Linked DNA regions of Callithrix jacchus. The protein of the gene in region 6 interacts with the protein of the main gene of each other region in a pairwise test. Links are inferred from orthologs where the notes say so. Each region holds a gene or a part of one and is shown on either strand. Other genes may lie near its edges.

Region 1 (4,207 bases), on a different chromosome or scaffold from region 6:
CCATCCCCACCCCATGCTGCTGCCTCAACCCTTATTCATTATTATCATTATTATTATTATTATTTTGAGACAGAGTCTTGCTCTGTCACCCACGCTGGAAAGCAGTGGCATAGTTTCGGCTCACTGCAACCTCCGCCTCCCAAGTTCAAGTGATTCTCCTGCATAGACCTCCCAAGGACCTGGGATTACAGGCATGCACCACCACGCTCAGCTAATTGTTTATATTTTTGGTAGAGACGGGGTTTCACCATGTTGGCCAGGCTGGTCTTGAACTCCTGACCTCAAGTGATCCACCTGCCTCAGGCTCCCAAAGTGCTGGGATTACAGGCATGAGCCACCACGCTGGCCCCTCCTTATTCATTCTTCAAAACCCCTCTCTGCCAAAACCAGTGAACCTGGCTGCCTCACCTGGAAAACAGACACAAGAGTGGCTGTCCTGCCTGGTGCACAGGTGAGCGTGAAGGAGTGAGATACCATGTGTGAGTGAGGGTCTCAGACACTGGCACTGGGAAGTTTTGCTAAAGGATCTTCAGACCTCAGGAACTGGGATGTGTGTGTGTGTAAATGCAAGCATACATAAATGTGAGTGGATAACTCTGTCATTGTGTGGGTGTCAGTGGGGGTATGTACACGCGGGAGAGTGTGTGTGTATTCACGTGTGTGTGTTTGTGTATATAATGCAAGTGTGTGTGTATATGTGTGTGTGTGTATGACCACCAGTGTGTGAATGAGGGGGATGTACACATGGGAGAGTGTGTGTATAGGTACGTGTGTGTCAATGTGAATGACTACAGAGGTCGTCCAGTGCTGGGGAAAAAACCCGTGCCTCAGTTTACTCTGCCCTAGACAAGCCCTGAGAGGCAGCCTTGCCCCCATCTTCAACCATCGCGTTGGAGATCCCAGGCCACCAGCGCACCATCCCCACTCTCTACCCCAACTTTGGGCATGTATTATTTTGCATATGTTAATTTCAACAGCTCTGAATGAGGTGTTGACAGTCAAAAGTCGCTAAATTCATAGCTTAGGGCTCACAGGCAGGGCCTCTAACTTCTGCAAGCCTCACTTTCGCCCTCTGCAAAATGGGCCTAATGGAACTGTTGTTCTTGTGCGCACCCCTCCCCAACCCCCAAGCCCTCGTGCCCAGTTGTCGCTGTTGCGGTTAAATTCATCTTGTTTACTTTGTGCCCCAAATGTCAGGAGTCTCCCCGCCCCCTCCGTCTCCTTCCCTGACCTTCAGCCCTTCAGGGAGGTGCCGGAGACCCGAAGGGACAGAGGTGGTCCTCCCGCACTCCGCGGCCACAGGTGTGCCCAGGTCTCCCGGCTGCGCTTCCCCTGGCCCCGCCCGCCGCGCCCCGCGGTTTCGCCCTTCCCTGGCGGCGGCAGGCGCGGGGCGGGAGGCGGCGGCGCGAGGCGAGCCCGGCGCGGCGGCCGCGGGGACAACCCGGGCGGGAGCGGAGGCCGAGCCGAGGGCGCCCGAGCCCCCTCCCCGCGCGTCCTCTGGCTGCGCAGCGCTTAGCCCCGGGCCCGCGGAGACATGAGCGCCCCGCGGCCCCACGCACCCCGGGGACAGCGGCCCGGCCACGCGGCCCCGTGATGGGCTCCTGCGTGTCGCGAGGTGAGGGGGCCCGGCCGGTGGTGGGGGATCGGGTGCCAGGGACCCGCGCGGTCCTCTCGCCGCTCGGAGACCTGGGGGATGGAGCTGGCGACCCGCCCTTCGCGGCCCGGCCGCACCCTCGGGGACACGGCGTCCTGAGGGGGACAGGGCTGGAGACCGTAGGAGGCGGGGGCAATACAGCGCGCGTGCAGAGGTCACCGCATCGGTGACCCGGGTTCGGTTCGCAGCCCTGCAGGTGACACGAAGCAGGGTCCCGCGCCGCGCTCTCAGCCCTACAGCCACACACCCCCTGCCGGGTGCCTGGGAGGGGAGGGAGGCTCCGGTTCTTCCTGGCTTACTGGAGGAACTGTGGGGCACCCGGAGAACTAGCAGACCCTTCTTCTCCCACCCCTCCCCAAGACACAGGCCTTACCAGCTAACCCCCTCCACCCCTCCCCACACCTTACCGGGTACCCCCATCTGCAGAGCCCCGGAGCCCTGTTGGCAGGAAAGGGTTAATGGTGGGGCACAGGTTATCTAGAAGGTTCCCCTGCCCCAACCTTTATCCCTAATCCTCCTCCCCACCCCCATTCTTGGTCTGGGGACCGAAGGGCCAGAGCTCAGCTAATGTTCCCGGTTACCCCTGGGCCTTTCTGTGTCTGACCTGCCACCCTGCACTCTCCCCCAGATGATACCCAGGGAGGTGGAGGGTCCTGCCCTTGCTTGGGGTCACAGGGCAGGCCCCGGCCCCTTCTGTCTGTGAGGAGGGGATGCAGAGTCTTGCACAGAGATTGGGGGATGGGCAGGTTGGTCTTTGGAACCCCCTTCCTCCACCCCAAGCACCACCACCAACTTTCCAACAGACCTCTGGGCAGCATTTTAGACAGCGATTGGGCTAAGCCCTTCCCCAACCTTGGTCCATTCACCCCACAGTGGGATCAGGGGGTGTGGCTGGGAGTCGGGGTGGCTTTGGCCTTGGTTCAGGCCCTGTAGGCTGAGGCCAAACCCATGGATCACCACCACACCTGTTACCCCTAGTAGCTTATCGGGAATAGAGGGGACCTTGTCCTGGGGGTGTTGAGCAAGGAGCACAACGCCCTTCCCCCATCCTCTGGACTCTAAGGGCTTCTGCTTGGGAGTTTCTGTGAGCGTTCAGGTAAGTGGCTCAGGATGTCTCTGGGAGATGTCAGGAGTGGGATCATGGGTGAGGAATGGGAAGGTACAAGGTCACTGTAACTTCCCTGCCTTTCATGGCCCGGCCGCACCCCTGGGCAGGCAGTGTCCTGAGGGAGACAGGGCTAGGGACGGCCGGGGGGCGCGGGGGGCAGGGGGGGGGCAGCACAGAGATCAAGCATGCAGAGGTCAGTCACCGCAGGCATCCCTGCCCCAATTTGCAGCCCGGAAGGCAACAGGGTCCCATGCTGTGCTCTCATCCCTGCAGCCACACACCCCCTGCTGGGAGTATAAGGACTATATGAGGTTCCTTTACTTATCCATGCATTAGGCTGATATTAACATGATGCCCACCATGTGCCAGGCAGTGTGTGCACGCTGGACATCCAGCAGCGAGGAACCCAGCCCAGCACCTGGTCCAGGAGGCCCCAGCCTAGCGGGTGGGGAAGGGAGTTTGAAGAGTAAGGAGTGCTGGGGGTTCTTTAGGCCCTCAAGAGTCTGAGGGTGTCTCCAGAAACCCCAAAGGTTCTAGGCAGTCTCTGGCTGAGACCAGCTCCAGATTGAGGGAATCTGAGTGTTTCTTCAGTGGTCACATCCCTTCCCCTTCATTTGGCCACCCCATGCCAGGTGCCTTGGGGTCCCAGCCCAGGTGGACTGGCCTGTGAGCTGAGGACCCACTGAGCACGGGGCAGAGGCCAGGGAGGAAGAGATACCTGCTAAGGTCACCCTGAGAGGCTGGGGCCCAGGTCCTCTGACCCCACACCTGGGGTTCCTTCCACCGGCCCCTCTTCCAGGGTTCTTTGGGGCCACAGCAGGCAAGGTACGCTCCTTCCACCCTTCCTCTGCAGCCTGGGCTTCCCCAGTGTCCCCCAGATCTGACTCGATGGTCCAGCTTTGTCCCACTCCTGAGAGGACCAGGCCCCTGACAGTCTCGACATGCACCCAGGAGATTTGGGTAGAGGTGAAAGGAGTATGGGGAGCCACGTGGGCAGAGGACAGCCAGGGTCCCAGAGACTGGGTGGCTGCACCACTGACTGCCCCCGCCCAGCTTTCTCCTTGTCACTGATGCTCTCCGAAGCATACTAATCTGAAAGTTTTAAGCAGCTAAAGCTATTTGAGTTATATATGAGCACAGTCTCCATCTTACAAGTGGAAAACTGAGGCAGAGGGCAGTGGAGTAACTTGACCAGGGTCACACAGCTAGGAAGGTATAAACCAAGATTAAAACCATGGTGCTCTGACTCCACAGCCTGGGGCCTCGGTCTCTGCACTCGAAGCCAGCCCTCGGCCCTGTTGCCTGCACCTGTCTACTCTCCTGCAGCTGCAGGCTGCCGTGGGCTCCTGAGCTCCCACCTGGCCCCAGCACCAGCAACTGATTGCTAATCGTAGCCTCTGAGCACTGAGTGCCTGCTGGGCCAGGTGGGCACTGCTATAGAAGGA
Region 2 (3,591 bases), about 12 Mb from region 6:
GAGTCTTGTTGGCCAGCCAAAGGCCCATGACCACTTCTCTGGCTGGGTCACCCAACTGCCTACTTGCCAGGTCTGGCTCAGATGGGGTGAAGCCAAGGACTCCCCAGGAAGGCTGGGTGCAGCAAGGGACCAGGAGAAATGAGGGAGCCCAGTGCTCCACCGCCGCTCCCTGGGGATCCCATGACCCTACTAACACCACACTGAAAGTGGCCCCTTGGGATGCACCCAGACATTCCTCGTGCTCCCATGTGCTTTATTGGAAAGCTGTCAAGTCTGTGCCTTCCACATGGGCCCTCACACAGCCAGGCGAGGCCCCAGCGCCCACAGGTCCTGGGACACCTGCCCACACCTGCAGAAGGGAAAGGCCCTCACCCTCTGTGGAGGTGTCTTGGCCACCACATCCCGTTCCGAAGGTGGCCCCAACCCCTCCCAACACTGACAGCACTTTCCATTAGAAGGGACTGTCACCCTGCCCCCAAGCAAGGCACCTTCCCAGGGGGTGGGGGGATAGAGTTTGGGTTCCAGGATGGAATGCACCCCTCCTCAGAGCACTCAGCCCACCAGGATCCAAGCAGCCCTTGGGGAAAATCGCAAGGCCACCCAAGTCTCAGCTCAGGAAAGACATTCCAAGACCTCATGCTCCGCTCTCCAAGACTGACTTCCTGTGACCTCTGTGTTGGCCACTTTGCCCTGAGGCCTCTCAGCACCCCAAGCCTCTGACCCCAGGTCCAACTATAGCAGGTGGCTGCTTTGGTGACCAAGTCTGTGGCAGCCAAAGGCACAGGCCCTCCAGGTTGGCTACCAAGGGGGTTGGTGCCCACAGGGAGGAGCGGGTGCCAGGAGGGCTCCCTGAAATCTAGGACCCATCCTGTTCTGCAGGTGGCCGACTCCCTGAGGTGGGACGTGCGCAGGGCTAAAGGGCCAGGCTGCTCCAGGAGCGCTGCGGATGGCGGCTGGAAAGTGGGGTGATCAGGGAGCATGGCTGAGGCCATAGTGAGGAGCATGGCGGCAGGGGAGAGCACCTCACACACTGCACGAGCTTCCAGCACATGCACAGCTGGCCAAGACAGAGGGTCACACACAGCAGATGAGAGAGACTGAGTCACATGCAGCGGCATGTCATCCAGTACTTGGGGAAGGTCAGCATGGGGTGGGCACCAGGCTGCAGGGCAGCCCCATCCAACAGGTTCAAGCCAGCCAGGCTCCAGGCAGCCAACCAGACTCAAATGACAGAGAAGCCAGAGGGGGGTGTCAGAGGGACATGAGCACAGCTGCATGCTGGGGGCTGACGAGAAGCTGGACCTTCTCCAGACCCAGGCACTGCACACAGGTGACTCTAGCTCAGCCCCTCCTACTGTCGCACCCCACTGCACCGGGGCTGAGGGCCCACCCGGCCCCCCGCACTCCTTTGTCTTAACAGGGCATTCCAGAATAGTCAAGTTTCAGCACTGAGAACAGCTCAGGCATGGCCGTTGGGAGGTGTGTCCAGTGAATGTGGCGGCTGGACGAGGCCGATGCAGGGAAGCCACTCGGGGTAACGACATGGGCCCAGGCAGGCGTGGACACAGGAGCAAGGGTGGTCAGTGGCAGTGTGAGCGCCAGTGTCTCCTTCAGCATTGCCGTCTTTACCACTGCAGTCACTTTCTTCAAAGAAAGAACTAGAGCAAACCCAGAGTTAAACATCTCCACGAGACTCGGCTCCTTTCATCGCTGACAGCATGGCACGTGACTGGTCCCTGACCCTGGAGAAAATGTGTCAAACCAGCCACCGGAACACAGTTGTGAGGGTCCGTGCCGCAGCCCACCTCCCAGTAAGCCACACCGGGCCCCTGCTGGAGTCCAAGAATGCCCAAGGAGTGTGGGATGGGACAGCCCCCCGCAGGGGATGGAGAGCAAGCCGTCCCACGCACCGAGACCCCACGGTGGACAGGTGGCACGAACCCGTCTCCCCAGAGTCCTGCCTCCCAAGATGCTGTCCTCACACTGCGGTCACTGCTTCTTGGGTCAAAGGGAAGGAGAACGAGGGCAGAGTGCAAACACGAAGTCACCCAGAGCGCTGGGGACGGGGCTGCGGTGGCCCTACCAGTTCTGGTTGTCCCAGCCATCGTCGGCAGGCACAGCCGGCGGCACCGCCTTCTTGGCGCCCTCCCCACCCTCCCCACCATCACTGTTGCTGTTCCTGTTGGTGGAGGCTGAGCCCCACACCTCCCAGCTGTCGGAGCTCCTCCTCTCCGTGGAGGTGTCCGCGCAGGTCCAGCTGTCGCTGCTCGGGGACTTCCGGGCCTTGGCAGACTCAGTGCTCCCGAAGGTCTCCCAGAAGCTCTGGTCTATGGAGCTGTTCTGGAAGTGGTCTGGACCGCTGTTCTGGTAACTGTGGCCCTCAGAGGGGCTTTTAAAGAGACAGAAGGGGGACTGTGAATGTCACTCAGCCCACCACTCAGAATTCCGTGCCCCCAACAGCTCTGCACCTACAGTGACCACCAGGCCCTGTGGCGCCTTCCCAGGCCAGCATTCGGGGTCCACAGCAGCCCTGCCAGGCAGGAGCTGGTTCTCCCATTTTAGAGCAGAGGAAACTGTGCCAGGGACCTGGAGAACCAGGGCCCACTCTTTTACAGAAAATTTCTTTTTCTACCAGCTCTAACCTGCTATGTCATCAGTGGTTTAGTTAAGGGGGGAGGGGGAGGGGCACTGGCCTCGTGGGGACTCAGGCTCTCCCGAGAGATGCCCCCGCCGCATGTCGGCTCTGGACCAGGCCCTGCCCTCTGCCCTCAGTTGTAGTCATACCACTGAAACCCTATACACACACAGAGAGGGAAAGGACGTAGCAACTGTAGGGAAAGTTTGGGCCCATCTGGGGGCAGAGCATACGTGTTCACAAGGGCTGGCGTCTCAGTGGACAGCACAGGGCCAGGCCCTATGAGAGCCCTGTGGTTCCTGTTGGGGTCAGGGACTGAGAAGAGCAGCCAGCTTCTAGCAGGAATGCCTGGGGCACCCAGTGCCAAGGGCAGAGCTGGACACGGGGCCCAGGACAGGTCTTGGGGGTCCCAGCCCGGGGCCCAGGACAGGTCTTGGGGGTCCCAGCCCTACTGTCCCCTGGTCCCCTATCTGCTCCACCCACCCAGAGTCTGGGAGACAGAGGAATGGCAGAGCAGCGCCGACTCCTCCTCTGATCAGTGAGTAAGACTCTCCCTCCCACCCCAGCCTGAGGTGCCCAGCTCCTGCTCCAAAAAGCACACAGCCAGGGCAGGGACAGGTGAGACAGGCCCCCGAAGCGGCAGAGCACTAGAAGAGCTTTCCACGATGCCCCCCGCCCCCACACTGCCCAGCAAGGAAGCCGACCACCATCAAGAGAGGGGGTGGGACACAGGCTCGGGGGATGGGGACATGGTGTACCTGTCCAAGGGGCCTTCTGCTTTCCCTGAAAAAAAGGTGGTGACATCCCGCCATCCCTTACTGCTGACTCCCTGGACCTGGAAGGAGATGGGAAGAGAGGTTAGGAAGGCCCCATCACGGCAGAGGCACGCAAGCCAGTGCACACCGACTGGCTGAGAAGGCCCAGGTAAAATCCAGAAGCAAGGGGTGCCTGGTGCA
Region 3 (3,591 bases), on a different chromosome or scaffold from region 6:
ACTCACAATTCATTACAAAAGTGGAAGATGTTCTTTGCAGTTTCCTGAATTGTACAACCTAAAATTTGTTTTGTGAATTGATGAAATCTACCTGCTTTACAATAGTGTGATTTTTATGCTAATACCCGACCATCAGTAAAATTTTTGAGTTTTCTTTTTTTTCTAAATGTAGCTTGACTGGGAATAGAGTTTGGCAACTGGTATGCCAACAAAAAAAGCTTAACGGCTAATAACTTGGAAAATGTCTCATTCAAAAAGGTACTTCAATAACATTTATAACAGTATAAACAAACATTAAAACTAGTTTAAGGGTAAAATAATCTTTCAATGCTTAAAGAAAGAAATTTCACACTGGGCAATATAAAAAGGGATGGTCTTCTCAGCCAAAAGCTACACTGTTTTTATTTTTAAATTTATGTCCAGGATTATGTACATAACCACCTAACACGAGGTAAAAACAGAAAACAAAGCAAAGAAATATAACTACAACGAATGAGAAAGGAAAGAGGGTTACTATAAAATTTGGGCTAATGTAAGAAAAACATCAGTGCTCTGAGAAAGGCTACATAATTTTTCATAAACATAAATGACATACATAAAAAGCATAACATCTCATGACTTCAAACCAAAGAATGAATTATTATGTAATTTCACTATTAGAACCATGCAGAAGCAGCTGCAAGTTATTTTTTTAACATTTTTCATTATGTCAGCTTTAAAGGTTTACACATTCTTTTGTAATTACCCAGTAGCTAATAAACTGAAAGACACACAACAGCAAAAACAGAAAATCATGGAGTCTTATATACTTATTTTTCCACACACACAAAAAAAGCCCTTGCTTTTGTCAAATTCAAAGTATAACTAAGTTCTCTCTCTCAACTTTCTATATTCACAAAAGATTTTCTGTTCTGAAATGCCAATTCACACCAGATCAGCTAAGACAATTACTCTATTCACTATACTGTGAGTTGCCCCCAACTATGAACTTCTGGAAGATAAGAATTATGTTTTAATTATTCATCTTTGCATCCTTATGAACTAGTTCAGTGTCTGGCTCTAGAAGTCACTAAATAACTCTGTAAAATCAATTCAGGAAAATAACTTGGTTGTCTTAGATTTATAAGAAAAAGCTGCAAATGTGTAGCTATTTAAGGTTTACCATTAGAATTTTTCTTACAACAATACTAATTTCAATCCCCATTAGTATTTTGGTTTTTTTAAAGAGTAATACTAACAAAAGCAGAAAACTTCAACTGTACAAACAAAGATAATACATTTTATGCTAGAGAGGAAAGAAAAATCTAGTATAATACCTCTTCTGCTAGATAGGAAAGAAAAATCTAACAGTCAATATTCTATAACTGATTACTATTTGGTTTAAAAATCATTGCAATTTTGCAGTAAACTTGGCATTTTATTTAACTTTTCTCAAGGTTAATGCAGATATACCTGGCTTGTCTCTAAAACTTTGTACATAGAACAAATTTCCATAAAAGCTCATTAATTTAAAAAATGTTGTCAATTAAAAAGAACCATAAGACAAAGACACCCATAACCATCCTACTTTTATCTTGTATGTCACTCCTAAGTTTCATATACTGAATTTGCTTAAAGCAAGGTGTAAATGTATTAAAAATTAAGTCCACTAACCATCAAGGTGTCAGAAGATGTAACAAAAGTTATTGAATGCCAGAAGTAAAAGCCAGCTGATTCAAGTCTGTTACTATAGGTACTCAGAGATGAATATGATTCATATATGTATCCATAATAAGGTCTTATTCTTTTAAAAAGAAATGATTTTAGTGTTCTAATGCATAATAAATTTGATACAGGTCAAACTACACTGTCTGGGACCATAAACAAGTATAAAGATGATCAAGCATCAGTAATAACCCCTATGAGCGCTTTCACATGCCAAGAGCTACAGTAAATAAATGTATTTTCCTTAATCATCACAGCCGTCACTTGAAATAGTATTATGCTCTCATTTAAATGAGAAAACTGAGGCCCAAAGAAGTATACGTTCTGCTCCTGGTTACAGAGAAAATCTTAGAACTGGGATTTGAATCTAAGTATGGCTAAATAACTTCAAAACTGTTTACTGTTCCATGCCTGACCACTATTATGCCATCCTGATTTCATAGTACAAGACCTTAAATCTGTCTATAATTCTGTTAATATTCCTGTTTTTGCTAAATGGATAACACATTTGATATTCCTCTTGATTTAACTGATATATACACTTACTTCCTACAGAATGACCTTTTAGATTGGAATATCAAATATTATGTTTAAACTACTTTCTTAAATCACAAAAGTTTACAAAATATTCCATTTATATCTCATTTTTAAAGTATTAGTAGACCTATTTTTAAATGACATGTTTACTGAAAATTAAAGTTTAGAAATTATATCCTAATTAAGCTCTCAGTTAATTCTTACAGTTAAAATTCTGAAAGACCATTTTTTTACCTATCTTCATGAGATGGCTTGGGGGGTGGGAGGGCTTTTGTAATTTGTCTTATAAAAATCATGCATAACAAACATTACCAAATTATTTAAAAAGACTAATAAAATTTGTGATTATTAAGCAACCAACAGTCAAGACATAATTCTTATCAGGCTTCAATGAACGATGTTCTTACCTTTTTATCTTTTTCTAAAATGGTCTGGTCTCTCTGCTGTAAGAGACGCTTAAGTGACATCACTTCTTCTTTCAGTTGACTTATAAGGACAAAATTGTCTGTTCCCCCACTATCTGCTGACTGATTTATAGAGCTACTAAAAAGAAAAAAGTAAAACACAGTTAAATGAAGGAGAAGGAAAATTAGCAGGTGTTCAAATTGCATAAATTAGACAATTCCACAAACATCCTTAAGGCTAATGCAAAAAAATATGTACCTGACAGAAATGGATGCAACTGGCAAATTACCTTACTAATGGCACACATTACATACACCTGCAGAAATATAATTCAGTATTAGCTTTTAGGGGGTCAATACTTCTAGTGTAAAGCAATAGGCAGCCAATTTGTACAGTAACATCAGCAAACTTTTGGCTAATGAACTAAAACAAAGTCACGCTCATATTTTTAATCTAAAAACATTTTCTAAGCAGGTCAATTTAAAATATCACAATTAGATTTGTGTTTCATTGAAGAATAAAGATAAAAATAATGTTCTCCATTCAGATTTGATTTTTTTTTCAAAACCCAAATTTATTTCCCAAATAGAACAACATAGTTCAGTGCCACTTTCTTATTGCCAAAATTAAGTTAAAAATTTTAAACTGATTTATGTTTACTCTTCTAGGTGACTCAAGTCAATGTAGAAAATACCTGTTTCTAGTTTTTTATCTAGTAATAACTGGCAATCAACCATAACTATGCAACTAAACTGAATTTTCACAACACTAAAATAATTCATTTTTACCTATCTCCATTAGATGGCTTAGATTCCAATTTGGGCTTTTTCTTTGGAGTTTCATTCTGAATTGCTGCAGAGGATTTATGGCTGAAACCAAACAATAAGAATAGTTAGAGTAAAAAGGACAGAGGAACCAAATGATAAGTTATTCATCTTCCCCTAA
Region 4 (3,569 bases), about 34 Mb from region 6:
TTTTGTCATGTGGAAGGTTCAGCTTTGGTCCACCCAGACTCTCCTGGCAGGCTTCTTTGATGGACCACTTCTGCCCACACCTTCTGGCACACTTCCTCTTCTGCACACCACCCTTGTGCTGTGTTCCTGTTCCTGTGGCAGCCATACCCTCTCCAAAGACGTCCTTACATAGAGGAACTACTTCTAAATTCTTAAATTTCTTTGTTTACTTTCCCTCTGTCAAAAAATTGCCAAAGCAACCTCAGTCTACAGGGAGTAGCTGCTTTCTGCATTTGCTACTTCAACAGTCTTCAGAATCCTTTTATGCCTTTTATCAGTTGATCATCTTTCCCAGTTAACAATTGTTGTTACTAAATTATCCCCATTCATATTATAGGGAAGTGGTTTATTTCTCCTGACTGGACCCTGACTGATATATAAAGACTTAAACAAAAAGAGATCAAGAGAAGGAAAGGACAGAGAGACAAGGAGAATAAAGCCTGGTAAGTTCTAAAGTAGGTTCACAGCTCTACCATAAGCTTGTTGGCTTCTCTTCTACACAGGATACACCAGCAGTCCACCAGCATACAAAAAAATTATTTTCTCACTTGCAGTTATTACTGGGGAGTGGGAATGGTAGTGGGAACTGAGATGACCACATTAACTCCAGGAAATCGCCACGTACATGATGATGCAGCACAATGATCATCTGGCAAAAATACTGCCAAAGCAACCACAGTGAACTGGCACCAGTGTAAAATGTGATGCTTACAGTTTTTGTGAGATGGAGTTTTGCTCTGACTGTCCTGGCTGGAGTGCAATGGCGTGATCTCGGCTCACTGAAACCTCCACCTCCCAGGTTCAAGCGATTCTCCTGTCTCAGCCTCCCGAGTAGCTGGGATTACAAGTGCATGCCTCCATATCTGGCTAATTTTTGTATTTTTAGTAGAGACGGGGTTTCATCATATTGGTCAGGCTGGTCTTGAACTCCTGACCTCAGGTGATCCACCTGCCTTGACCTCCCAAAGTGCTGGGATTATAGGTGTAAGCCATTGTGCCTGGCCTGCTTAGTTTTAATACAGTCAAGCCTCATAACAGAAACTTTCTGTTGTACCTTTTACCTATGTTATCTAAATAAAAACAAATATGCTGAATAATCAAATAACACTGGCATCCTTTAATTCTAACAAGAATATTAGAATTACATAGATATATTTACCTAATAAAGCTCTTAAAAGCAGCAGACTGAGGGTTGATGCAGAGAGGCACTCTGTTTCCTTTCTGCTGTTCCAAAATGAACTGGTGAATAATTTCTGTGGAGAAAGCAAGCATCATACAATCCATGACAATTTGCAGGCCCAGGAGCAGTGAATTCTCAGCTGACTCTAGCCAGCATCTGAATAGCATTTCCTACTGGTTTAGTTAAATCAAAAAACACATCATCTATCAAGCAGAATTCAGCTGAACTTCCTAAAACGAAAACGACAGCTGTTGCTAAATGTAGGCAAAAAACCCACTGGTGGCATTACAGACTGCAGCCCCATCAGTAGGAAGAGTAAAATGGTCTATAAATTTGAGAGAGACTCCAAGGTCTGGCATTATAGATGAACTCTTCTAAGTTGCTGCCTTTTGGAAAATCAGTTGGTATCTAGGTGTACAGTTTCAGGTGGTTACTTGGGGACTCCCCTCTCTTGTAAAATGTCCTAGAGTAGACACTAAAATCACTCAGAATTTTGGATGTCATTACCCCCACTGTATCCTAATAGGAGACCCTGCAACAAAATTTTATGAGTACACTATCAGAAATTCCCTTCTCTTGTCATCAGCCAAGGAATGATTCCCTCAGTGAATTTTTATATTTAATGGAACTTTGTATGTTATATAAAGAAGATCAATACGTTTCAATCAATGAAATGACATTGAGTGAATACATATAAAATGTATTGAGTCATACTCACTAAATAAACTGAAATAAGAACAAACTATTCATTCCTCTCCCTAACCTTCCCCTGTGTTTAATATTAAATATGAATTGTTATGCCCTGGACACATAGCTATATACAGGGTTGTAAAATAAACATACAGGGGAGCTTTGGTTACCAACCACATCTCAGCTCTTCATGGCCACCTGATGGAAAATGTTACTTGGCATCTTGCCTGGCCCAAGGCCAAACCAGATACTCACCTTTAACCTGTCGGACAGAACTGAGGTTCTTCTCAAAAGTGTCATCAAATTTGGGATTGGTGACAGGCTCAAAGTCACTGGTATAAACTCTTCCAGTAGAGGTGGAAAAGCAACATTTACACATACATGTGTGATATCGTAGTCGCCCTTCATCTAGGTAGGGGTGGGCTAAGGCATCCTTAGCGGATATTCTTTTGGACTGAAATCAAATTAGAGACCAGCACATCAACACTACAGATAAATATGACTGTCCACATAGGATCTTTCAAAAGACATATTAACTGCTTTACACGGCTTATATATAATTTATAGTACATTCCATCCAAAGAGGGATAACTGAATTTAGAGGTGGGTAACATAGCAGCATAGGGAGTGTATAATTTAGGACAACTACTGTTACCATCTACCATCATAAAGCACTTAGAAGTGCCTTTCTGTTGAAATTCTGAGAAGTTCCTACCCTGAAACAGATGTATGCAGGGTCAAAAATCACAAATACCACGACATTTAACTATGTAGTGCTTCGAATGGGATTACATTTATATTTTAAATAACAGGCTGTATTTTCTAAATATGTGTCAGTATCTAGAAGATATGTTCATAGTGGCAGTCTTACAAAGCTTCTTGACATTTTTATTCTCTTAGAATACCAAACAGACTAAGGCAAAAGCTGCTGGAGTTAGGCAGCAGATAGCGGTCTGACTGCCATGTTTTGAGATACAGCTCAGTCTGAATATCAGGAGTCTAGCATTTTATTTTCTGGTACTTTATTTTTTTTAATTTTTTTTGTAGAGATGGGTTCTCCCTATGTTCTTGAATTTCTGGCCCTCAGCCTTGGCCTCCCAAAGTGCTGGGACTGCAGGTATGAGCTACCGTGCCCAATCATTTTCTGTCACTTTAGATCAGAATACTTAATATATTAGTTTTAAGTTACCTGAAAATCTAAACTTTTAAACTTATTACTCCATTAAAAAATTAATGTGCCTTCTTTTAGCTCAGTAGGCTAATGTGTACTACTGAGACAAAGTAAATTTTAAAGGATTTAAGGATGAACTCAATAGTACAGAGTAGAACAAAAATGAGAACTAACACTTTGCTCTGATTCCAATATGACCAAGCACTTCACATTACACAATTTAAAGAAGAAACCCACTTTCATTTTCAAATAAACCAAAAACAACGGAATCATCCTAATTGTTCTGGTCCCCAAATAATAAAAAAATGTTTTCCATAAACCTGGATTCCCTACAAACACTTTTATCTCTGATTTTTGCTATGCTGATCTAAAAGGGCATGTCATGACCTTTCATGATAGGATAATCTCAGAAGAAAGCGGGTGTTTTATTTACCATGAACCGGCAAATGTATACTTGATAACCTTGGCTTGTTTTCCTTTCAATGAGTT
Region 5 (3,789 bases), on a different chromosome or scaffold from region 6:
GAACTGCTGACCTCAAGTGGTCTGCCCGCCTCAGCCTCCCAAAGAGCTGGGATTACAGGCCTGAGCCACTGCACCCAGCCCAGGGAGCACTTTCTCCGTCCACAAAAACCCTGTGCAGCGGCCTCGGGTTGGGGCCGAGACAGGCTAGCTTTCTGGGCTCCTTCCTGCCTGGGAGAACCGCTGTAAAAGGGAGGTGACTTTGGTTACAGAATACAGAATTTCTGGAGTTGTGACATGCTGCAAAAGCAACCAGCAACAGGGTCACTCTCTGCTGAGGGCCGACGCATCTCACCTGAGCCAGGAGGGACCCTCTGCACCGTGATGCAGCTGGGGGCGAGGCCGAGGGGAGAGTAGAGGATGGCAGTCTGGAACCTCCTGGGACCGGTGACCCAGGAAGTGCGGCTCCAGGCATCGAGGGGATTCACTCACAACCAGCCCAGCTGATTTGCAAAGTCCGCTTCAGGGGTTTTCTCGAAGTCTGGGGTTGTGGGGGATAGGTGGCACCAAGGTCAACATGGAGACGGACAGAGGTCACAACGCCTATTTATTCCCTACACATCACGCCCTGCACCCAGATGGGCTCGGCACACACCTCACCGCCATGAGGGGCTGCAGGGCCCTGGGGGCCCCGTTCCTACTGTTACCTACGACACATGGTATTGCGCCTACCTCGCAGACGGCCAAGACCCAGGGATTCCCAGGATGCTCCGACTGCCAGCCCTGCTGCTGGGACCACAGCGCCGTGGGCTCACCTGCCACCCCCAGGCCCCAGGAGCTGAGGCAGGCCCCCCAATGTCTAGCTCTCGGCTGCTCTCCTGGTGGCTGTTTTAGGGCCAAGGTGAGTGGCACCAGAGGTGCTCCATGGCCTCAACCTGGAACTGGAGGGGTGAGCTTTCCGGCGGGCCCTGGGCCTATGAAACACCCAGGACGGAAGGACAGCAGGATGGGACACAGACAGAAATGGCCCAGCTGCCTTCCCCGTGCCCGCGGCTAAGGCAGCCGGACCAGTCATGATGACACTCGTGGCTCTCAGTCTCGAGGACCGGAAAATGAGGGTGGGTGGCGGGGAACGCATGTCTCCCGACACGCAGGACTGGAGAAAGTCACAGAAACTGGTCCTATGCACCCAGGACGGCTCCTGGCCGCGGAGGCGTGGGGTGACTGCAGCTGCCCCCTGGATGTCTGCCAGGGAAGAGGTCCTCATGCAGACACGCGGCGCAGCGTCCGGGCCGCAGCTGGCAGTGAGCTCTTCCGAGCAGGCACGGGGCCCGGGAGGCCGGGAGCAGCTTCTCAGCACGGGAGGGGGCGGGGGCTGTAAAAAGGCTCCGGAAGCCACAGGATCCGCCACGCGGCTGAACGTGGAAGCTGCCGCTTCACTGAGGGGCCGGGAGCACCCCAGGATTCTAGAAAATACTCAAGTGATGGGCTGTCTGGGGCCTGGGAGGGAGGTCGCTGCTGGGCTGTGCTCAGCTTGCTGGCTCTTGTTTCAAGAAAGGTCTGGGGGCTACAAGGGAGTTACAAAAAGGGAGTGGAGGAGGCAGAGATCAAAGGGAAAATCCATCTTGACATGCAGGTCCGAGGTCTCTCTCTTCCCCTCTCTCAGGCAGTCCAACAGGAGACAGCAAACACCCGGAAGCTTCCAGTCAGCCAGGGAAGGACGCGGTCACACGAGGAATGGCTGGAGGGGGACAGATGTGACGGCGGTCAGAGCACAGGTGGAGACCCCGGCCGCACCACACACTCTAGGCAGGAGGAGAGGCCCTCAGCCAGGGACCACGCCAGCTCTCTCAACGGACGTCAGAGCCACAGCCACGCCGGCAGCATTCCGGACACTCAGGGCCACGTGTGCCCGGTGGCGCAGAGAACGCCGCCGTGATCTAGAAGGGTCTGCAGTGTGGCGGGACTTTGGGTATGAGGTTATGTTGGTGAAAAATCCACCTCGACTATTAAAAAAATAAATAAATGAAAACTTATTTTAAACAAGAAAAGACTGGAAGAAAAGGTGGCCGCAATATGAACGTCAGTTGCCCTGGGTGAAAAGACTGAGGTTGGGCTGAACACGGGGCTCACACTTGTCATCCCGGCACTTTGGGAGGCTGGGGTGGGAGGATGGCTTGAGCCCAGGAGTTGAGACCACCAGCCTGGGCAGTGTAGTGAGATCCCGCCTGTACAGTAAAGACAAAACTCAGCCGGGTGCAGTGCTGTGTCCCTGTAGTTCCAGCTACAGGGAGGCTGAGGTGGGAGGACCACTTGAGCCCAGGAGGTTGAGGCTGCAGTGAGACGTGATCGTACCACTGCCCTCCAGTCGCGGTGACAGAGCAGGATAGTCTCAAAGTAACAAAAAAGATTAAGGTTGTTCTTGCTGCTTTTTCACGTTTGTCCTTTAAATTTATCTACAGTAATTCTGGTTAAAAAATGAGAATGTGTACACAAGGGACGCCCCCAGCAACGGTGACGGGATGAAGAGGCCACGTTGGAGCAGAATGGACACACCTCGGGAGGCCTGGAGCTACTCGGCCCAGGAGTCGGCATCTGCTGCGGACGGACAGGACGGACACGGAACCCCGGGATGGAAACCAAGCCAGCCACGGGCCCCTGGAACCCACGGGGGACTCCAAGTGCATTTTTTTTTTTTTTTGAGACGAAGTTTTGCTCTTGTTACCCAGGCTGGAGTGCAATGGCGCGATCTCGGCTCACCGCAACCTCAGCCTCCTGGGTTCAGGCAATTCTCCTGCCTCAGCCTCCCGAGTAGCTGGGATTACAGGCACGCGCCACCGTGCCCAGCTAATTTTTTGTATTTTTAGCAGAGACGGGGTTTCACCATGTTGACCAGGATGGTCTCGATCTCTTGACCTCGTGATCCACCCGCCTCGGCCTCCCAAAGTGCTGGGATTACAGGCGTGAGCCACTGTGCCTGGCCATTTTTAAACAACGCTAAGCGCAATGGCTGCTCACAGTGAGAAAGGGACAAAAATATCCCTCACAAGGGCCGGGCGCGGTGGCTCAAAAAACGTAGGCAGAACGCTCAGACGTGCAGTCAAAGGCAGGTGCCCGGATTGTCCTTTCCACCACCCAAAAACCTGGTTCCATCCCCCAGGTGGCAGCTCTGACGCTGCAGAAACAAAAAGCTTCCGCGGGGGGGACGCCAGACACCAGCCCTTCCAGTGGGGGGCCCAGACCCCTAGACACCAGCCCTCCCAGGAAGCCGTGGCTTCCCCCTCATCTCCACCCAGCCCCGATCCACAGATGGGAAACAGGACGGGGGAGAAGGAGGTGGCGGCCACCTGGAAAGGAGTCCAATGCCCAGAGATGCCCCCACCTGCCTCAGCGGTTCAGGGCAAGCTTCTGAGCCGGACGTGCTCAGGACTCACTGTCGAGTGCCCAGGGGGGCTCTACAGTCCCCGGGCAGCACTCCTGCTGGCTGCCCTCCCCTCGGGGCACTCCCTCGGTGTCACTCCTGCTGGCCGCTCCCCATCCTGGGCCCTGCACTCACCGGCGTCACTCCTGCTGTTCGTCGTTGCTGGCGCTGGGCGTCCGACTCCGGATCTGGCTCCTGAGCTGCTCTATCAGCTCCGGGTTCTGCTGCTGCATCTGCTGGGCAAACTGCTGACCGCTGTGAGGAAGGGCGCACGGGGCTCAGCCAGGGCCAGGAGCCTGCCACTGCCTCCGTCCGTCGCCACCTGACCCCTTGACCCCTCCACCCCACAGACAGGTCTGACTGCTCGCCAGAGGATGCCAGGCCCTCCGGAGCAGGGGGACGCCACCCACGCCCTCCTTGAAGCAGGTCCA
Region 6 (4,281 bases):
TGGGACTGCCTGAGCCTCTTCAACACCTCCCTGTCCAGGCAGGCAAAAAGCTGCAGGGGCTAAGTCGGCTGACTACAGCGCCCTGTGTGTGACACACGCCTCAGCGCGTGCGGACCTGTGAGCATGAATGCTGACATGTGTATACCTGTGCGTCTGAATCCCCAACGCATGGTCTAACAGCTGGGCCTCGCTGGGCAGGCTTACAAGTCAGGAAGATGTGATTTTTGGGGGTCTGATCTGTGCAGATGTGGGATATCTCTGAGGTGAGGGGAAGGCATCAGTAGCCATGGGAGAGGACAGGGCTGGAGGGCAGAGAGGGAGTCCCCCCCCAAAAAACCAGGGTTCCCCTCCAGATGCCTCCTTGCCTGACATCATGTTCATACCTGTACCCCAGTAAGGCTTGCGGGAAGCAGCCACATGAGGACATGAGAAACCACAGGGGTGAGAAGGTTGTGAAAAAGGAAGTATGGTGGCTAGCAGAGTCTGGGCTGCCCTCCCCAGAGGCCAGTCACCACCTGCCATTAATGTCCCCTCCTCGCCAAGGGAAAGGGACACAGGCTGAGTCAGCCTTTGAGACACCTGTGTTCTGAGGGTCCCCCACACCTCTAGGGCCCTCTGAGATTCCCCAAGCATGCTAATCCCCATCCCTGCCTCTCCCTCTATTCTGGAAGTGAAACTCAGCCACATGTGGAGAGAGACCACGTGTGACCACTGGGCTGCCCATCTGAGTCACCAGGAGGAACTGAGCCTTGAGTCTCTGTGGGGAGCAGCCTCTCACTTCCTAAACAACTCTTCTCCCAGGCTCAGCTAGCCCAGCTAGCTCAGGGGGGTGGCCAGAGAGGTTACACAGCCTGAAGGAGTGAAAACAGTCTTGTAACTGGCTTCTAAGCCAGTTACAAGACACTTCATATTTTATTTCTGTGCAACCACCATCCAAAGTAGTAATTAACATCTTTACTTTTATTTTAGAGATGAGGTATTGCTATGTTACCCAGGCTGGACTCAAACTCTTGGGATCAAGCAATCCTCCCACCTCAGCCTCCCAAGTAGCTGCGACTTCAGGTGCGTGCCACCACACCTGCTCATTTTTTTTTTGAGACGAAGTTTTGCTCTGTCGCCCATGCTGGAGTGCAATGGCATGATCTCGGCTCACTGCAACCTCTGCCTCCTGGGTTCAAGTGATTCTCCTGCCTCAGCCTCCTGAGTAGCTAGGACTATAGGCACATGACACCATATCCAGCTAATTTTTGTATTTTTAGTAGAGATGTGGTTTCACCATGTTAGCCAGGATGGTCCTGATCTCTTGACCCGGTGATCTGCCTGCCTCAACCTCCCAAAGTGCTGGGATTACAGGCATGAGCCACCGCATCCAGCTACCACACCGTTTTATATAAGGGACTTGAGCATCTGCAGATTTTGGGGTCCTGAACCCAGTTCCATGAAGGGACACCTATAACACGTCACACATCAGGTCATTGTGACAACAGGCTTTGATGGGCCCAGAACATATTGGACCTGGGTTCATATTACTAGCGGCACGATGGACAGTGCCTGGAAATGGACCCTAAGCCCCAGGGGGATAGATGCATCAGGTAGGACAAAAACGGTACAGGGACTGCCTGGAAATCGCACTTGGGTCCTAATCCTAGAATTGCCAACTGTGATGGCCTGAGAAGTTGCTCCCTGTCTGTGCCTCAGTTCCCCCAGGAGTCTCTGTGTGGACACCACTGTGGGGGAGTGGCAGGAAATCTCCCCACCCAGTCACTCACACCCTCTGCTCCACCTGGCTTTCCTCAAGTGCCCCTCCCCTAAGTCAACATCCCCAAGAGGCCACCTCCTGGCCAGATAAGGGTGAAGTTGACTGGTACTGGACAGTGGACCCTCTCCTCAGCCTCACAGCTCCTGGGCAAAGCACCTGCAGCTGGCACCACATGCTTCCTGGGTGTTCTCAGCAGGCTGTCTGCTGCCCTGGCTTGCTGGGAAGGGGAGCCTGTCTGCACAGGACTGTTCGGCTCCCTGGTGAGTTACCTGTGCATGTGCCCCCTCCTGTTTACACTGAGTTGAAGGAGTATACTGTACGTTTCTACTCAATACATGCACGGGCATACAGAAGCAGGGATGAGGAGGAGAGCCAAACACACCCTCTCATCGCCACCCTACACCACCAAAACAGCCAGAAAGGACAGCAGCCTCTTCAAGCCCTAGCTCTGTTATCTTCCACTAGGTGGCACTCCCCGACTCCGAGTGCCAAGCGGAGAGGAAATTCCCAAAAGGGGAGCCAACCTCGCTGCAAATGAGCAGGAAAAGGTGGCTGGGAGAGGCGGAAGTTAGCTCGTCCCACCCCCTACAAGAGGAAGTAAGGAGGAGCCAGACCAGGTTCTGTCACCACTCCCAAGTCCCTACTACCTTCGAGAAGCCAAAGTCTCAGGTCCGATTCCCAGGCCCTTGGAGCTCCCAGCCCAGGGTCGCGCGCCCCTCTGGCTCCAGGCTGCCGCGGGGACCACCCAGCACCACCGCGAGAGGGGAAGACGCCGGCACCTACCGATAGCGGTAGATCTGGCGCAAGAATGGCGTGGTCCCTGCTTTGGGGGAAAGGACTTCAGCTTCCCGGAATGCTGGGGAGGGAGAGCCCCCTTCTAACGGGGGTCACTGCAATTACTGCTTCCTCTCCCCCATATAACTCCTTCCAGTGTATAGGAACGCCCAAAGGAGTTTCAATAAGCGGGTATTCTGTCGTCTCCGGCTGATACTCCAGGGTAACCCCAAGCGCACATGGCCCTGGCCAGGCCCCTGGGTAGGAGAGGTCTGCGCGGCCGCCCTCCTACCTGCGTTCGGGTCCGCGGTCCCTGGGTAGCAGCAGCCAGTCAAGCAGCTCACGGACTACAAACCCCAGCGCGATGACCCGCCCACCTCAGTTTCCATTGGCCAGAGGTCCGGGATACGACGCTTCCATTGGCTACTTATCGACGTAGAGGCGGGGCCAGCCTGGGATGCTGTGTTTTTTTTCTACTCAAATCACTCACCTCCCGGCTTCCTTTCGCCCCACACCCCATTTCTAGGGATCATGTGATTGGGGAATCATGTGACGCCGGGCCAGCCTCAACAGGGCAGCCGGTGCTCTCCTTGCTGCCTTCCCACACCCATCCTGCAGGCGCCTGGGGGAGTTTGCTAGAGATGATAGCGTGTGTGGGGCATTGGGAATATTTGTGCTCTCCTTTTTATTTTTCTTTTCTTTTTTTTTTTTTTAATTTCCCCTTTCTATTTTTTAGAGTGATGGTTGCCCTAGCTGATCATAGCTTACTACAGCCTGCAACTCCTGATCCCAAAGCGATCTTCCCACTGCAGCCCCTCAAGGCGCTGGGATTACAGGCGTGAGCTACCGGGCTGGCTCCTTCGCTCCCATTCTATCCTGCCCTGCCCTGCCCTGTCCCGTCCTGCCCTATTCTGCAAACTCGGATGACATGCTAGGCAGGCCCCAGACGGAGTTGAAGGATGGATTTGAAGACAAAGATAAGCAGCCCCAAGCCCTTTCCTCAAGGAGTCAGCGGGGCGGGAGCGGGGGGCAGGGGTTGGTAGGAGACAGGCTCAAGCTGGATCTTATTTATTTATTTTTGAGACGGAGTTTCGCTCTTGTTACCCAGGCTGGAGTACAATGGCGCGATCTTGGCTCACCGCAACCTCTGCCTCCTGGGTTCAGGCAATTCTCCTGCCTTGGCCTCCTGAGTAGCTGGGATTACAGGCACTCACCACCGTGCCCAGCTAATTTTTTGTATTTTTAGTAGAGACGGGGTTTCACTATGTTGACCAGGATGGTCTCGATCTCTTGACCTTGTGATCTACCCGCCTCGGCCTCCCAAAGTGCTGGGATTACAGGCGTGAGCCACAGCGCCTGGCATTGGATCTAATTTAAGATAAAAGATTGTGCGCAGGTGCCAGGTGTACGGAGTAGATTGGCTTCAAGTGGGGAAAAAGCGGTTTTGTTGTTGTTTTCTTTCTTTCTTTTTTGAGACAGAGTCTAGCTCTGTAGCCCAGGCTGGAGTGCAGTGGCGCGATCTCTGCTAACTGCAACCTCCGCTTCCCGGCAAGCTATTCTCCTGCCTCAGGCTCCCAAGTAGCTGGGATTACAGGCGCCTGGCACCACGCCCAGCTTGCTTGCTTGATTGATTGATATTTAGTAGAGACAAGGGTTTCACTGTGTTGGCCATGCTGGACTCGAACTTCTGACCTCATGATCCACCAGCCTCGGCCTCCCAAAGTGCTGGGATTACAAGCGTGAGCCAC
Region 7 (4,214 bases), on a different chromosome or scaffold from region 6:
GGACAGGGAGTGAGAAAGATGTAGGCACCTTTCATGTAGGAAAGATGAAAAACACTTTCAGAGAAAATAAATGGTGTAAACGAGTGGGAGCTAAAAAAGAAACCGGGGTTTGACTCAAGTCGTCCTCTACAGCAGTGCAAAAATGGGTGCAGGACATTGATTTAGAGGACAATTTAATTCGAGAGAAAGAATCTTCCTTTTTCAGTCCACCTGCCGTTTCACATAAGGAAAGTTTGGCTCCTTCGGTCAGGGCCTAACGAGTGTCCAGATTACTCATTCCATGTTGGGAGAAAAGGAAAATCATCAGCCGCCCCTTACTAGCAAATCCGCGGGTAAATGCGCTCTGCGCTGGCGATGGGACCACAACAGGAGAAAGGTTGTCGGTGACCCGGCCGGGAAGGCGCACGTTGGGCGTTTTCTCAGCCCTGGCCACCTCATGCGCCCACGAGTCTGCTCAGTGCGCCGACAGTGGGCCCTGTACTGTAAACAGATTAGGCAATCGGCTCCCTGGGCCTGCTCGGCAACAAAGCTTACACTCAAACCCAACAGTCTGAGGGTCCCCAACATTTGAGAGTCTTGGGCAGGGGCCGGAAGGCCGGTGCTCACCCGGATAGCCCACGGAGGGGTGCAGAAGGTCCATGGCAGGCCCGGCCAGGCCCAGCCCATTCATGCCGTATGGGGGTTGTTTGAGGTAAGACATCATGCTAACAGCTGGGTGGAGGCGCCCCGACAGATCCAGGGGGCCCGGGGCCAGGAGCGGTGCAGGGCTCCCACTGCGCAGTCCTTCAGGCTCTGATGCGTCTGGGGGCCTGGCCTATGGAGACACGATACACACGGAAACCATCAGTCGGAGGCACTTGGCTTTCAAGTCTTGTCCGGGGATAGACAGGGAAGGCAGGTTACAGAACTCCGCAGGGTGGTCAACTAGCCTCCACAAGGACTTAGCCCAGAAACCACAGTTGCTTTGAAAAGTAAAGTTTTCTAGGTCCTCTAGCTCTAGGCTCGGAATGGGCCAAAGATACTGGTAGGGAGTCCATAGAGTAAGAAGTTAAAAGCAGGGCCAGGCTGGGAGGTAGAGCTGGAAACACAGAATGTACAACCTCCCAAGTCCAGGCAAAATTCTGAGTCCGGCAGAAGCCGGCTTCATGTTGCACAAACAAAAGTTCACTTGGTGCCCGGGGCAGGGCGCCCAGAGCATGCAGGGTTGTTTCGTTTTGTTTCAGTGTTTTTGAAAAGGTAGAGACTATGAAGGGCCAAGGTGAGGCAATGTGGAGGACTAACTGCACCTCAACCTCTTATGCACCTAGACACTTGGTTTCTTCTAACGCGTCCAGGGCTGCGTCCCTGCCCCAGAGCCCACAATAACCATTCCAGCTAACTTCTCTATGCCCAACCACTGAAAAATCGCTGACGCGGAATCACACCACACTTCAACCGCAGCAACGGGCCCAGGCCGCAGAGGGCCAGAGGACGCTGAAGGGAACACTGTAGAGGGGGCGATCCCAAGACGCGGCCTGAGGTCAGGAGCGCCTCAGCTGCGGCCATCGCCCTTCGTTGCCAGCGCGCACCCGTCCTTCTCTCTGCCCAGTCTGGGCTTCTGACCACATGGTCCCAGCAGGGGGTGAAGGCTGGGGCCCAGCACCTTAAAGGGTCTCTGAGATTTGCGAAGCCAGAGGGCAGCAAGTTGCATGCTGCCATCCTAGTAGCTGAACCCGAGGCCCCAGGACACTGTTGAGAACAGAGAACTAGGCCTCAGCGGCAGAGCCCACGCAGACCCGAGCTGGGAGGTCGAAGCCTTGCCCCCGCTGCTGCCGAGAACCCAGGCGCCACTCTCAAGGGTCAGGGAGGGGCACTGGAAAGTGGGCCTGGGGTTCTAGGGGGCCGTCGCTACACCCCGCTTTGCGGGATCGCTGTGAAGCAGGCCAGGGACTCGGGTTAGGACGTTTAGGGAGAGAAGTTGGAGTTAAAGAAGCTCCCCCCAGCCCCGTTCCTGCCCCCGTCCTCTCGGACCCAAGGCCAGAGGAGGAGTCCAGCTTGTAGGGAGGGAACGAGAAGGGAAGCAGCCAGGGCTCTTAGGCCAAAGGAAAATGGGACTCAAAGCTGCGACGGCTCTGCGAGGCTGCAGCCTGAGTTTTCAAAGACTTTCTCCAAACTTAGCACTTCAGCTCGGTTACTTCGGAGGAGGCGGGGGAGGGGGCGGCGGGCCGCGACAGCGCCCCGGGGTCCTCCGCGCACCCAGAGGGGAGTCAGGCCGCTCCCCCAGCCCCGCCCACCTGCTGGGGCTCCGGGAAGCGAGGATCCATTTGAGGAGGGGGAGGTAAGGGTAACCAACGCGCTCCCGGAGTCCCGGGTGGCCCCGCGGCTTTCTCCTTACCTGCCCTCAGCTGCCGGGGCCGTTCACCATCTACCTGGATCCCTCACAGAGACCCGCCGGGCAGCCAACCTGCAAAACAGAGCGGCACAGGAATTACCCCGGCGGCTGGTCTAGGACCCCCGGTTTCTTTCTTTTCTCAACTTCTTTCCTCCCACGTCTATCTTTTTTTCCAGTGGCTTTGTGCGTGTCCCTAAGGGTTTCACTTTATTGCACAGACACTTTGTTTGCTAAGCCCCACGCGTTCTCAGGACATTGCCTGACCGGGAATCGCGCCGAGGGGCCGCAAGGGGGGTAATTCGAGTGGCAGAGTTGGGAGGTGGCTCGGCGTTGCCGCGGCACTCCCGATACAACGTGGAGGCAGTGGGGACTGGGAAGTCCTGCACAGTCACTTTGCAAACTAAATAAATCAAGCGATTTACCTTGTCGGAGTGGCTTGTCTTGCTCGGTTGTTTAGGTGATTGGAAATGTAGCCTGATGAAGATTGATCACCTTTCTACTGCCCTCCCCGGGTATGTGAACGCGAGGCGAGTGCGTAACGGGGCTAGGCCGCCAATCGGGGGCCCCGCGCGGGCTGAGTGACAGGGAGCCGGGCAATGGCAGCGCGAGCCGGGGGTTACCTCCGCGCGCCCCCGCCCTCCCCCGCCCCCCACTCCCCGCCTTCCCCGCCCGCCCGCCCGCCCCGCCCCGGTCGCGCGCTAACTCGGCTGGCAAAAGCGGCGCAGAGCTAGCCGAGGAAGGCGAGCGGAGAGCCGGAGTCCTGGCCGCTGAGGGGACCGCGGGTCCCCAAGCCTGCCCTGGGCCCCCCGGCCCTTCTCTCGCGCTTTAGGCGCTCTGGAGGGAGTGGCTCGGAGAGCGCGAGGTGCTGGAGAACCGGTTCCTTCGCTCTCCGAGGCACTACCAGGCTCTGCCGCCCGGATGTGGGCGCCAGGACTCGGGGGCGGCGGACTAGAAGAGCCCGGGCGTCTGCCCCTCTCCCGGCGCCGCGGGCCCCAACGTTTCCTTCCTCTGCGCCGCCACCTGAGACCGACGCCGCGGGCGGCTCGTGCCAGCACAGGCTACTTTGCAGAGCGCGGGAGCAGCTCCGGGCGCGCAGATCTCTCTTCGGCGCCTCGGGACTCCCGCGCCTGAGAAGAGCACCCACTGGAAGGGCGCCGCCACTTACCTGCTCGTCGGCCTCTCCCGGGGTTCCCAGTCCCCACCAAGGGTGTTTACAAGTCTTAAGCGCTTCTTCTGAAACATTGGAACCCAGCGTCCTCTTCCCCTCACACACACACCCTATTTCTTAATTCAAACATTTTGCTAGGAAACTTTCTTTTTCACACTCTGTCTTTCCTAGTCTCCCTCTAACAGGGACTTTTAGATGAAAAATGTGGCCACAGACCCCTGCCCTCAACTTTTTTTCCACATGCTGCGTAAGGAGCCTCCTTGAGGCGATTTCCCCGGATTGTTCGTATATGTGAAGCCCATTTCCTAGCCGAACAAACTTCCCAAACGCGTCTACCTGGGTGGACTTTTCAAAGTGCAAAAAAAGTGTTTTCGTCCCAACTCCGAGTAAGGCGAATCTTTTAAATGGCACCTCCTCCTGAAAATTAGGCACTTTATTACCTTTCGAGGAATTTCTACCCCTTGTTTCTAATCTCCTACTCCCTCACCCCGACAGGAGTAGTAAAAAGTTTGCAAAGGAGTAAGTGTGAAGGCGAGTCAAGGAGCCTCCAGGCGCATCGCAGTGGGGAGCACCCGCGCAGCCCGGGCCGCGGGGTCGGGCGCCGAGAGCAGACCGGGCGCTGGGCGAGAAGGAGGAGAAGGAAAGGGGAGCCCGCTGAGTGAAAAGGGGCCGCGG

Evidence for each region.
Region 1: the proteins of GRN (region 6) and FAM131C interact in binary tests that used the Homo sapiens proteins (3 or more experiments, as listed by UniProt). The link is inferred for Callithrix jacchus from reciprocal best matches to the Homo sapiens genes GRN and FAM131C.
Region 2: the proteins of GRN (region 6) and ARFGAP1 interact in binary tests that used the Homo sapiens proteins (3 or more experiments, as listed by UniProt). The two-hybrid records come from large-scale screens. The link is inferred for Callithrix jacchus from reciprocal best matches to the Homo sapiens genes GRN and ARFGAP1.
Region 3: the proteins of GRN (region 6) and FAM76B interact in binary tests that used the Homo sapiens proteins (3 or more experiments, as listed by UniProt). The link is inferred for Callithrix jacchus from reciprocal best matches to the Homo sapiens genes GRN and FAM76B.
Region 4: the proteins of GRN (region 6) and NLK interact in binary tests that used the Homo sapiens proteins (3 or more experiments, as listed by UniProt). The two-hybrid records come from large-scale screens. The link is inferred for Callithrix jacchus from reciprocal best matches to the Homo sapiens genes GRN and NLK.
Region 5: the proteins of GRN (region 6) and SGTA interact in binary tests that used the Homo sapiens proteins (3 or more experiments, as listed by UniProt). The two-hybrid records come from large-scale screens. The link is inferred for Callithrix jacchus from reciprocal best matches to the Homo sapiens genes GRN and SGTA.
Region 7: the proteins of GRN (region 6) and OTX1 interact in binary tests that used the Homo sapiens proteins (3 or more experiments, as listed by UniProt). The two-hybrid records come from large-scale screens. The link is inferred for Callithrix jacchus from reciprocal best matches to the Homo sapiens genes GRN and OTX1.

Annotation. Positions count from the first base shown.
Region 1 is NC_133508.1:53,398,262-53,402,468, reverse strand, and holds the start of FAM131C (protein FAM131C), read left to right. Parts: upstream 1-1,354; 5' UTR 1,355-1,593; coding exon 1,594-1,615; intron 1,616-1,738; exon of another isoform or gene 1,739-2,750; intron 2,751-4,207.
Region 2 is NC_133506.1:58,775,920-58,779,510, reverse strand, and holds the end of ARFGAP1 (ADP-ribosylation factor GTPase-activating protein 1), read right to left. Parts: intron 3,471-3,591; coding exon 3,394-3,470; intron 2,390-3,393; coding exon 2,080-2,389; 3' UTR 237-2,079; downstream 1-236. UniProt on the Homo sapiens protein: GTPase-activating protein (GAP) for the ADP ribosylation factor 1 (ARF1). Involved in membrane trafficking and /or vesicle transport.
Region 3 is NC_133511.1:44,463,817-44,467,407, reverse strand, and holds part of FAM76B (protein FAM76B), read right to left. Parts: intron 3,516-3,591; coding exon 3,435-3,515; intron 2,785-3,434; coding exon 2,649-2,784; intron 1-2,648. UniProt on the Homo sapiens protein: Negatively regulates the NF-kappa-B-mediated inflammatory pathway by preventing the translocation of HNRNPA2B1 from the nucleus to the cytoplasm.
Region 4 is NC_133506.1:105,342,333-105,345,901, forward strand, and holds part of NLK (serine/threonine-protein kinase NLK), read right to left. Parts: intron 2,364-3,569; coding exon 2,165-2,363; intron 1,293-2,164; coding exon 1,199-1,292; intron 1-1,198. UniProt on the Homo sapiens protein: Serine/threonine-protein kinase that regulates a number of transcription factors with key roles in cell fate determination. Positive effector of the non-canonical Wnt signaling pathway, acting downstream of WNT5A, MAP3K7/TAK1 and HIPK2.
Region 5 is NC_133523.1:2,600,045-2,603,833, forward strand, and holds the end of SGTA (small glutamine-rich tetratricopeptide repeat-containing protein alpha), read right to left. Parts: intron 3,614-3,789; coding exon 3,499-3,613; 3' UTR 3,494-3,498; intron 2,815-3,493; exon of another isoform or gene 2,413-2,814; coding exon of another isoform or gene 2,400-2,412; intron 1,910-2,399; coding exon of another isoform or gene 1,011-1,909; 3' UTR 528-1,010; downstream 1-527. Other genes in the region: uncharacterized protein LOC118150284, read left to right, coding at 1,011-1,909, 2,400-2,412. UniProt on the Homo sapiens protein: Co-chaperone that binds misfolded and hydrophobic patches-containing client proteins in the cytosol. Mediates their targeting to the endoplasmic reticulum but also regulates their sorting to the proteasome when targeting fails.
Region 6 is NC_133506.1:71,185,958-71,190,238, reverse strand, and holds the start of GRN (progranulin), read right to left. Parts: upstream 2,859-4,281; 5' UTR 2,826-2,858; intron 2,583-2,825; 5' UTR 2,543-2,582; intron 1-2,542. UniProt on the Homo sapiens protein: Secreted protein that acts as a key regulator of lysosomal function and as a growth factor involved in inflammation, wound healing and cell proliferation. Regulates protein trafficking to lysosomes, and also the activity of lysosomal enzymes.
Region 7 is NC_133515.1:51,066,322-51,070,535, forward strand, and holds the start of OTX1 (homeobox protein OTX1), read right to left. Parts: upstream 2,862-4,214; 5' UTR 2,794-2,861; intron 2,444-2,793; 5' UTR 2,375-2,443; intron 815-2,374; 5' UTR 704-814; coding exon 607-703; intron 1-606. UniProt on the Homo sapiens protein: Probably plays a role in the development of the brain and the sense organs. Can bind to the BCD target sequence (BTS): 5'-TCTAATCCC-3'.